Saccharomyces cerevisiae S288C: one gene and its partners. The gene in region 1 interacts genetically with each later gene. Each region holds a gene or a part of one and is shown on either strand. Other genes may lie near its edges. The genes, in order: MTH1, CTK3 and SNF3.

Region 1 (3,761 bases):
TCCGCTATTAGGGGACTGCGGAAGTGAGGGGAGCAGTAAATAGTGATCTTTGTAATTTTCTGCAAAATCCCTCTCGCTGTCTCGGGTTTTTCGATTCAGAGGACCTTCCCCCCCCCATGTTCCGAGATCGGTTTTGGTGGTTAGAAGGCCGGAGGAAAGACATTTACCGCTTGCGCGCGGCTTCTTCTGTATGCTGTGCTCAACTACCAAGAGAAGGATTACGCGCACGGATACGTTGGATGTCTGCGATTGGTGATGCTAAGAACTAAAGGTATTTCGTCATCGTATGGTTTGATCTTCGCTACCCTTGACTCTTTACTGCGATAACGGTACCACGTTCCCATAAAATTCTTATTACTAAATCTCTATAAAGCTGCAACAGCTAGTTTGTATATATAAATCATTGGCGCTTCTTCCTCAATTCCTTGGGAATTTGGAGCTCCTCTATTAAAACTGATGTCCATGGGATAGTATTGATACAATCGAAGAGTCTCCAAAAAAACCATCGGGAAGGTTTCTTTTTAGTATCTTCAGGATACTGAATCCGGCTGCCAATCCAATCCTAATCTTTGGTAAACTTGTGCCTGACATTGCGACCATATCGTAGCCTTTTCTTCTTTAGATAAGCTGACTTTGTTTTTTCCCTGTTGATTTGTTGCGGCGCTTGATCTCATCATCAATTCATCAAGGTTATTATTGGGGTTTTTCAACTGAATGTTCTTCAATAAAGCCTTTTTCAGAAGCGATTTTGTTTCTGTGCTGTTTTTCCGCGGTATTATGCTTGGTGGGGGCATGTCCGGTCTTTTTAAGTTGGACTGTTGTAACTTCCATTTCTTATATTCGGAGCATCTTTGTTTGAAATCAAACCTGCATTGTGCCTCTACTGCTATATTTAAGAGGTAATTTTCGATGATATTTCTCCATTCCGGTTTCGACAAATTCATGACGGCTTCATTTCTACCAGTTATATGCTCATGTCTTTTTCTAGCGGTCGCTACTGTATATTTGGCGCTGGTTAGTTTGAATTCATAATCTAAGTTAGCCTCCATGTACAGATCCGAATGGACTAACGTTGCGATTATGGTCTCATCGCTAGAATATAGTGGTAATAATTGTAACCTAAACTGGGGCATATTATCACCCACCGTTATTACTTCCGGTAGTTGATTACCCCATTCGGGCCTTAACTTCTCGACTATCAATAACGATCTTATATCGTTTAAATCCCAATCCAATAACTCTCTCTTGGTAAACTTGGGACGCCCGTTACAGAGAATGTTGGATGGGTCTGCTAATAGAATATCTGGCGAATACATGTCATAAAACGTTTTGGGTAATGCTTCATCCAGGCTCACTCTCGTGATTAACTTGTGGTTAGGAAATTCGGAGAACGAAGAGTCATTAGTTAGTTGCGTGTGCACAGTAGAGGGGGCAGAAAATATACTTGATTGATAAGACGAGGCATTATCCGAAAGTAAACTCCCACTTTCAGCCACGCTTGATCTCCTGCTCGCTGAATGCATACTGCTTGAATGATGTGACCTTCTGCTAGGTGAGGAGGCCAATAATCTTTTTTTAATCTCATCTCTAGCTCTATCAGTGTACTCCGGAGGAGCATTCACAAAGTTCTCTCTTCTCGAAGAAGTCGTGGATTGAGAGCTACTCATTGATAGTGGCAAACTTTGAAAAGAAGCATTATCACTGCCACTCATCGTGTTTTCCGGAATGGCCTGTAGGGAGCTTGCAAACCCATGATTACTGTTAGTCGATTCTAATGGACGTCGTTGTAAAACTTGGTTTTTCGAAGTTGCTGGTGGTGGTGAAACAAACATTCCTTTGAGTGTGTGTACTCTATGCGTTCGAATAAAATTCTCTTTGTATTGCTGCTTGTGGTTTCGCTATTGAGAACTTTCAATATACGTTAAAAAATACTTGGAGTGAAATGAACAAATCTTTTTGTATGTTTCCTTAAGTTATTAAAAAACTCCATGCTGTTTTTTAATAAAAAAAGAAGCAGTTACAGGCGCATTACAAAGTTTGAGAAGAAAGGAAAAATGTCATTTGGTTATATAAATTTTTTTTCTTAATGGAGATTGAGGCAGCAATAAAATGTGGGATGAAAAAAAAAAAAAAAGGCACTTGAATAAGGGGTAGAATGGCAGATATTCCATGTCTACGGTAGTTTCACTGGAGAAATGGACTCGTATTTTCTCTCACGATGAATTTTTCCACAAAATTATAAGATGAGGAAATGTGTGGGGCAGTCATCCTAACAAAACTCGCACGGACTCCATTTCCCCGGACCTTTTTCCCGCTTGTTCTAGGGAATAATTTCGGAATAATTTTAGGGACTTCATAGTATGACTGGGTTTCAAGGAACGGAAAAACTGGTTAGTACCGCGTTATTCTGCCATTTGCTGATCGTTTTAGTGGAGGAGCGGAGGAGGGGGCGGGGTGATAACTTTTTTTCCGCTTTACAATAGAGAAAAGTCCAAGTAAGTCTCGGCGTGAGATGGCCTTGATGTTATTAGTACCGGCGGCTCCCTAATAGTTTACTAATACGCATACCTTATGTCATATTTTTCCATCAAATATTGATCAGTAGAAAACCTTGGCAATGTACATAGAGCTACACTTTTTTGGATATGGAGTATTAGAGAAAACTGGGTTTGGTGGGCGAAGAGAGATGTTCCCTACCTCCTCAAGAGTCTTCAACTATGAATTTCACACCATATCCTTATCTAAACGAACTATGGGGTGGTCAGCTAACGCAAGTATTGAATTCTTTCTCTTAAAGTACCCCTAAGTTGAAGAATTCATTTTAATCTTCCTTGCTTTGTCCCCCCCCCCTAGAAGCATAGTTTTGTCTTAACGCTGTAACGGTCTTGTATGCTTATTTTGGTGGTAGGGATCGGTTTGCACCTTGGAAATGCTATGTTTACTTTATTAAAAAAATAATTAGTTTTCCTCCAAAACGTAAACAAATATAAGTTTGAGAGACAAAGAAAAGAATGAAAGAGTCTTATATATATATAAGTTAGCTGGTAGCATAACCATTTTTCTCGACTTATTTATAAAACATTCGACATACTTCCATATTTCAAGCATTAATATGAGACCTAGAATTTTTTCAAGCTAACTTATGTACATTGTAGTTATATGATGAGGAAAAATGTACACAACAGCTTGTGCTGTTTATTCCCATCGTATGTTGCGGTAATGCAAACAGCAATAGAAAAAAAATTGATATAAGAAGAATATGACTAGTAGCATCACAGTGAAACAGTAACGGTAAATGAATCAGCATGTGAATTTTTCTAGAAAATAAAAAAGAAACTCCGAAGCGGGGAGTCGAACCCCGGTCTCCACGGTGAGAACGTGATGTGATAGCCGTTACACTACATCGGATTGTACCTTGGTGATAGTTTGACCTAAAAGAAACGTTCATTATGTAATGAAGAAAGCCAATTATTCGGTCGCAAATCAAGGTTCTGTTAGGGAATATGATTTTCTTTGACTCTCAATGAGTTCTCTTATGACTATTTAGGGGCTAAATTATTTGTTATGGCAATATTATTAGGTAGGAAAGATACGACTTTACTGAAATTGTTGGAAATACAAAAAGGAGCAGATCATTCCACATAATGATATCATTATTCCCTCTTTCATTTAAAAAATCACCGTTTTTATTTTATTAATTATCAGTCTCTGCATTTTCAGATTCTGTTAAATTTGATAAATGTTTTTCGCCGTTTATAAAG
Region 2 (3,344 bases), on another chromosome or scaffold:
TGAAAGAAGTAATATTCTTGGCACTTTTCTATCGTGGACCTCTCTGTGAACGAATGCTCTTCCTCTGCTCAGTCCTTTCCAGCTTGTAACTAGACAAATTCCCCGCGGTTCTTTATGATCTTTAAGCTCGAACCACAAGGCAACAATGAACCTTCTCAAATTTTAAATTCGCTTATGTAGCAACCATATCAGCCCGAATGTAAATTCATTTGTGTAGAAATGCGGCGTAAAACCATCGAATGAAGGGAGTAGTCTAACATGGTATTTTCCTTGGCTTGTTTTAAGTCTCGTCAAACTCCTCTTTTGTGTGTTTTCAGCAATAGGCTACGGCCAGGTCCACAGAAATTGACTGTTTTATACTCAACAACACACTCTGCAAACCGTGTTAAGTTTATTCGTCTGCACATGTTGAGGACTACAATAAAAGTAACTTAGAGGAAAATTAGCCGCCGTTTCACCTTGAATAGTTTGCTTTTCCTGAAATCGAGATAAGAAAAAGACAAGTTCATTTTGTACGCGCATTGATACGTATATACGTATATATAATACAGATACGGATTCTCTTCACAGATATATATATAACGTCATGGTACTAATATATGTAAGATGCCTTCGCAATGTCATTTAAAGCCTTGATATTTTTGTAATCGTCCTTATCAAATCCGGAATCAGTAGTTTCAAAATGCGTCCACAAGCTTTTAAATTCGGATTCATCCAGTATATCGTTGGAGGGCCTTTCGATGTACCAACTTGTCTCTTTCGACCTCTTGTGCAGTTCCCTGTCTGCTTCCATCCTGTGCAACAAAATGTTTGCATTGGTTGGCTGCGTCTGTAAGTCCGGGTTGATCGCAGTTGTATCGGAATTGAACTGCTGAAAGAAAGCCAATTTCTTCAAGTCTCTGTCCTTAAGCAGAGACTCCGTTCGTTGCAATGATTCTTTATAGTCCTTTGTAGTCCTCTCTGTCTTGACACTGTACCAGGTAGTAGCGTCTATGAGTGTGGTGTCTGATGGTGTGTGCGTGACGCTGGTGGCGTCGTAATGGATTAGTTTGGATAAGTCAAGGAATAGCTCTTTACAGGTGGCTTGATTCGTGAGGGATTTCCAGTCCTGGCAGGGCAGACAAAGCTCAAAAACCAAGTCTATGTCCATGAGTAGCACTTCGTTTAACACTTTTGTAACATTGGTATTGGAATGGCTATGCGGATATAAGTTTCTTATTATTCTAACATAGTATATCACTACGTCCAGTCTATCTAGTGGGTCCATCTTCATGGTTGTATCGAACAAACATTGGTGGAAGTCCTCGTAGTGATGTCTGTAGTTTCTCAAGTAGAACTGTATAGGGTCATTGTTCAGCTTTTGTTGCGATGACGGTGGTGTGGTGGTCGACGATGATGTGATAGAGTCTCTGGTCTTGTGCAGCGTCTTTTGCAGGTTCTTCAGGACCTGAATGAATTGTAATCTAGCTTCAAGAGAGTCCATCCTTGCTGTATACCTTTACCTGGCAGTGCTTTTGTGAGAAATTAACTACCATCTGGTATTCTTTTTCCTTTTCTTTCTAAAATTCTAGTTTTTCATGTTGTGCTTAATTAGGAAAAACAGTGAATTTGAACAGTTGCTGAAGTTGAGATCAGTCTTAAATATACATTGCTCAAAGAAGTACAAATACATATAAATATAAATATCTATGGTTTTCTCAACTAGTTATTATGTGGCATATACGAATGTTTTAGTGGTATGCTGGAAATGAATGTCATATGGTTGCGTTTTTCTCTGTAGAATCGGAATTCTTAGTGATATGTGCTGCCGGCGATGGTTGCGTCCGTGGCTGATTTGATGCTGCTGTGCTTGTGGACAGATCAAGATATGGTTTCACAATGAAAGGCCGCTGTAAGTAGTTGTAGGGCCCCATCAGGAAAGAAGATGACGGGTCTTGATTGCTCCCATTTATAGTAAAGTTCATGTTCACGTTCACGTTGCTGTTAAGGTTGTGGTTTGAATTATGATTAATGCTGTGGTCGGCGTTGTAATTTGAATTCACGTGGCCGCCAGAGTTTCCCGTTGAAGATAACAGGATCTTGTGGGTGATGAACGGCTTGGGCGGAACGACGTCCACTCTCTGTTGCTGTAGTAGTTGTTGCTGCTGCTGCTGCTGCTGTTGTTGTTGTTGATCCATGAATGACTGATGGGTATAATCCAGAGATGGAGGCAATGAAGTTGACGCCGCTGCTGCATGCGGCGGTGGTGCTGCTGATGAATTATGAGCTGAGTGAGACGACGGGCTGTGCGTCAACTCTCTCAGTGCGTCCACAGCTTCCATGTCCCTGGAACTAATAAGACGCGACTCCTGATCTTGCTGAGACCCGTCGGTCTCTTTACCCCCAGTATCTTGCCTCCTCCTCCTACCACTGCCAGGCTTTCTTCCCTCTCTCAACGTCTTCCCTTTTCCGGGCTTTCTGCCGCTTCCAGGTTTCCTTCCTTGTGCCAAAGTTTTCGCCATCACCCAATGTCCTGCTCCAATATACTTTAGGACAGTTTGTAGATTCACAAGGTGATCTGTTCAAAAACTCCACTGACAATAATAGAAATTTTTTTTTTTTCATTTTCTTTCAAAACTCATCACCAAAAAAAAAAAATTGATGCATTAGCATCGGCTTCATAAACGAAAAAAAAAAAAAGAAGTTGAAAAGAAAACATGATATAAATAGTTGCAAACTAAAGTAAGATAACTGAAGATGATTAGTCCTGTTTGCATACATAGTTCTGTTCTTGTTCTACGCTGATGCGATCAATAAAGTCGCTTGAAACGCGACTGGTAGAAGCCAGCTTAAGCACAAATGGTGTATATGGGAGTGTTACCCGATGCTTTTATGTAGAAAATCTTGAACTCTTTAAAAAAGAGAGTAAAAGCAATGGAGAGAGAGGCAAGCAAGCAAACAAACGTGTAATTGAGGGACTCATAAAGGGCAATGACTTCCAAAACGTCAGAAAGTGGTACCGGTACCCAAAGTACCATAGTTCAGCTGAGGAACCTACCGGATTTGACGGAAATTAGTCACTTGGAAATAGATGCTCCCGTAGTTGAAATTCTAAAGAAAACAGTACTTTTCCAGTTGAATTCGTTGAACATCTGCATTTCAAACTTTGCATTGGATGAGCTGGTCAACCTCGTGACCGTCCAAATGGACGGCATGTTTCGGAACCTGCACAATTTAACACTTTTACAAAGAAGGTCGCAAGCTTCTCAAGCAGATTTGAAATTGTTGCTTCGAGAGTTTAACCTGGATGCGCCCTCCCTTTATCAGCAGTTTCAGGCCTCAGAATTCATCAAATCGAAGCATTC
Region 3 (3,761 bases), 900 kb from region 1:
ACCATCTCGTGCCAAGGCTGTATCTGTTGCCCCTCCAAATATCCTATCGACACCAACTCCATTAAATGGTATCCCTGCAAATGCTGCTAGTACCATGCCTCCGCCACCTCTTTCCAGAGCTCCCTCTTCTGTGTCAATGGTATCACCACCTCCTCTACACAAAAATTCTAGAGTCCCATCCTTGGTTGCAACTTCTGAGTCACCAAGGGCATCCATATCAAATCCATACGCTCCTCCTCAATCATCACAACAATTCCCAATAGGTACTATTTCTACAGCAAACCAAACGTCAAACACCGCTCAGGTAGCTTCATCGAACCCCTATGCTCCACCACCACAACAAAGAGTAGCAACCCCATTATCTGGAGGCGTGCCTCCAGCTCCGTTGCCAAAGGCCTCTAATCCATATGCTCCAACTGCAACCACTCAACCCAACGGTTCCTCCTATCCTCCAACCGGTCCGTATACTAATAACCATACCATGACCTCTCCTCCTCCCGTTTTTAACAAACCTCCCACTGGCCCCCCTCCGATTAGCATGAAGAAGAGAAGCAACAAGTTAGCTAGTATAGAACAAAACCCATCTCAAGGTGCTACTTATCCTCCAACCCTTTCCAGCTCGGCCTCTCCATTGCAGCCTTCTCAACCGCCAACTTTGGCTTCTCAGGTTAATACCTCCGCTGAGAATGTCAGTCATGAAATTCCAGCTGATCAACAACCCATTGTCGACTTCTTGAAAGAAGAACTGGCTCGCGTAACACCATTGACCCCAAAGGAGTACTCCAAACAATTAAAGGATTGTGATAAACGATTAAAGATTCTTTTCTACCATTTGGAAAAGCAGGATTTATTAACCCAACCAACAATCGATTGTTTACATGACCTCGTCGCATTAATGAAGGAAAAGAAATACAAAGAAGCTATGGTCATCCATGCTAATATCGCTACAAACCATGCTCAAGAGGGTGGTAACTGGCTGACAGGAGTGAAGAGGTTGATTGGCATAGCTGAAGCGACTTTGAATTAATTCAGTCTCAAAACTTTCAGTACAAAAAGTGGCGTATTGGCCTTGTTTTTTTCTTATTATGTCTTATAGTATTATATTTATATATTTATGTACTTATCCTTTTATGTTTAAACCTAATCAAGATCACAATTAGAACTAGCTTAACATTACTTCTCAAAACCAACCAATACCTCTTATATCTTTTTTACAGCCTTTCCCTTATGTTTTTACCATGTACACCTCGAGCGGCAAATCTCCGGGGAAATTTTAAACTTGCCGCATCGCACATTCTAAAGAACAAAAGGAGGAGGAACTGTCAATTATTCTATAATCTGGGGAAATTCAGTCATACTGAGAAAAACTAGACAATAGTCCTATCCTCGGCAAATTGCATTGATAGTACTTACACATCGAGAGATCATAGGACAGATAAGAAGCATTTTATTGAAGAAAAACAGAGAGAGTCACTATAAGTTGACCTCACTATAGAAATTAAAACAGAAAAGTTTTACTGAGGACCTTTTTAAACAGAAGGATATGCCTTTGTTGGCATAGAAAGAAGAATTTATAAATGGATCCTAATAGTAACAGTTCTAGCGAAACATTACGCCAAGAGAAACAGGGTTTCCTAGACAAAGCTCTTCAGAGGGTGAAGGGCATAGCACTGCGACGAAACAATAGTAACAAAGATCATACAACAGATGATACGACAGGTAGCATACGAACCCCTACGAGCTTGCAGCGGCAAAATTCTGACAGGCAATCTAATATGACATCCGTGTTTACGGATGACATTTCTACCATAGACGACAACTCAATTTTATTTTCAGAGCCTCCTCAGAAACAATCTATGATGATGTCTATATGCGTAGGTGTTTTTGTTGCAGTTGGCGGATTTTTATTTGGTTATGATACAGGTCTGATCAACAGTATTACATCTATGAACTATGTGAAGTCACACGTAGCACCTAATCACGATTCATTTACCGCCCAACAAATGTCCATTTTGGTGTCATTTTTGTCATTGGGAACTTTTTTTGGGGCTTTAACTGCACCATTTATATCTGATTCGTATGGCAGGAAGCCTACTATCATTTTCAGTACAATTTTCATCTTCTCTATCGGAAATTCTTTACAGGTAGGTGCTGGAGGAATCACATTATTGATTGTGGGAAGGGTCATTTCAGGTATCGGTATAGGCGCAATTTCAGCGGTTGTTCCATTATACCAAGCAGAAGCTACACATAAATCATTAAGAGGTGCTATTATTTCTACTTACCAATGGGCCATTACCTGGGGCTTGCTCGTGTCAAGTGCAGTGTCGCAAGGGACACACGCAAGAAACGACGCATCTTCGTATCGGATTCCCATAGGGTTGCAATATGTCTGGTCGTCATTTCTCGCTATCGGGATGTTCTTTCTCCCTGAGAGTCCACGCTATTACGTTTTGAAAGACAAGCTAGATGAAGCAGCTAAATCTTTATCGTTTTTAAGAGGTGTACCAGTCCATGATTCTGGGTTACTGGAAGAACTAGTTGAAATAAAGGCAACATATGATTACGAGGCATCTTTTGGTTCTTCGAACTTCATTGATTGTTTTATTTCAAGTAAAAGTAGACCAAAGCAAACTCTAAGGATGTTTACGGGAATTGCCCTTCAAGCATTTCAACAATTTTCAGGTATCAACTTTATATTTTACTACGGTGTCAATTTCTTCAATAAGACAGGAGTCAGTAATAGTTATCTGGTTTCATTTATAACCTATGCTGTTAATGTTGTCTTTAATGTTCCTGGTTTGTTTTTTGTGGAATTTTTTGGTAGACGTAAGGTGCTGGTTGTTGGGGGTGTTATCATGACTATAGCCAACTTTATTGTGGCCATTGTTGGGTGTTCCTTAAAGACTGTAGCGGCCGCAAAAGTTATGATAGCATTTATATGTCTATTCATAGCTGCCTTTTCTGCTACATGGGGTGGTGTTGTTTGGGTTATTTCAGCAGAACTGTACCCATTGGGTGTGAGATCTAAATGTACGGCTATATGCGCTGCTGCTAACTGGCTTGTAAACTTTATTTGTGCTTTAATTACCCCTTATATTGTAGATACTGGGTCGCATACATCATCATTAGGTGCAAAAATATTCTTCATTTGGGGCTCCTTAAATGCGATGGGGGTGATAGTTGTTTACTTGACCGTTTATGAAACGAAGGGTTTGACATTAGAAGAGATTGATGAATTATATATTAAGTCATCCACTGGTGTCGTGTCACCAAAATTTAATAAAGATATTAGGGAACGCGCACTTAAATTCCAATACGATCCTTTGCAAAGATTAGAAGACGGAAAGAACACTTTTGTTGCTAAAAGAAATAATTTTGACGATGAAACACCAAGAAATGATTTTCGAAATACGATATCGGGCGAAATAGATCATAGTCCCAATCAAAAAGAAGTTCATTCTATCCCAGAACGTGTTGATATTCCTACTAGTACAGAAATTCTTGAAAGCCCGAACAAAAGTAGTGGTATGACAGTCCCTGTGTCACCTTCTCTGCAAGACGTTCCAATCCCGCAAACAACAGAGCCTGCTGAAATTCGAACCAAATATGTGGACCTAGGAAATGGGCTTGGTCTTAATACGTATAATAGAGGGCCTCCCTCACTCTCAAGCGACTCAAGCGAAGATTACACAGAAGATGAAATAGGCGGGCCCTCATCTCAAGGCGACCAAAGTAATAGAAGTACTATGAATGATATT

Evidence for each region.
Region 2: mutations in MTH1 (region 1) and CTK3 together harm fitness more than expected from each alone (negative genetic interaction), as found in Saccharomyces cerevisiae (2 studies listed by BioGRID).
Region 3: of MTH1 (region 1) and SNF3, a mutation in one rescues a mutant of the other (synthetic rescue), as found in Saccharomyces cerevisiae (3 studies listed by BioGRID, with this or other methods).

Annotation. Positions count from the first base shown.
Region 1 is NC_001136.10:1,013,871-1,017,631, forward strand, and holds MTH1 (Mth1p), read right to left. Parts: upstream 1,833-3,761; coding exon 531-1,832; downstream 1-530.
Region 2 is NC_001145.3:43,202-46,545, reverse strand, and holds CTK3 (Ctk3p), read right to left. Parts: upstream 1,484-3,344; coding exon 593-1,483; downstream 1-592. Other genes in the region: DAT1 (Dat1p), read right to left, coding at 1,755-2,501; TAF8 (Taf8p), read left to right, coding at 2,971-3,344. UniProt on the Saccharomyces cerevisiae protein: Gamma subunit of the CTDK-I complex, which hyperphosphorylates the C-terminal heptapeptide repeat domain (CTD) of the largest RNA polymerase II subunit.
Region 3 is NC_001136.10:110,003-113,763, forward strand, and holds the start of SNF3 (glucose sensor), read left to right. Parts: upstream 1-1,577; coding exon 1,578-3,761. Other genes in the region: SEC31 (Sec31p), read left to right, coding at 1-1,027.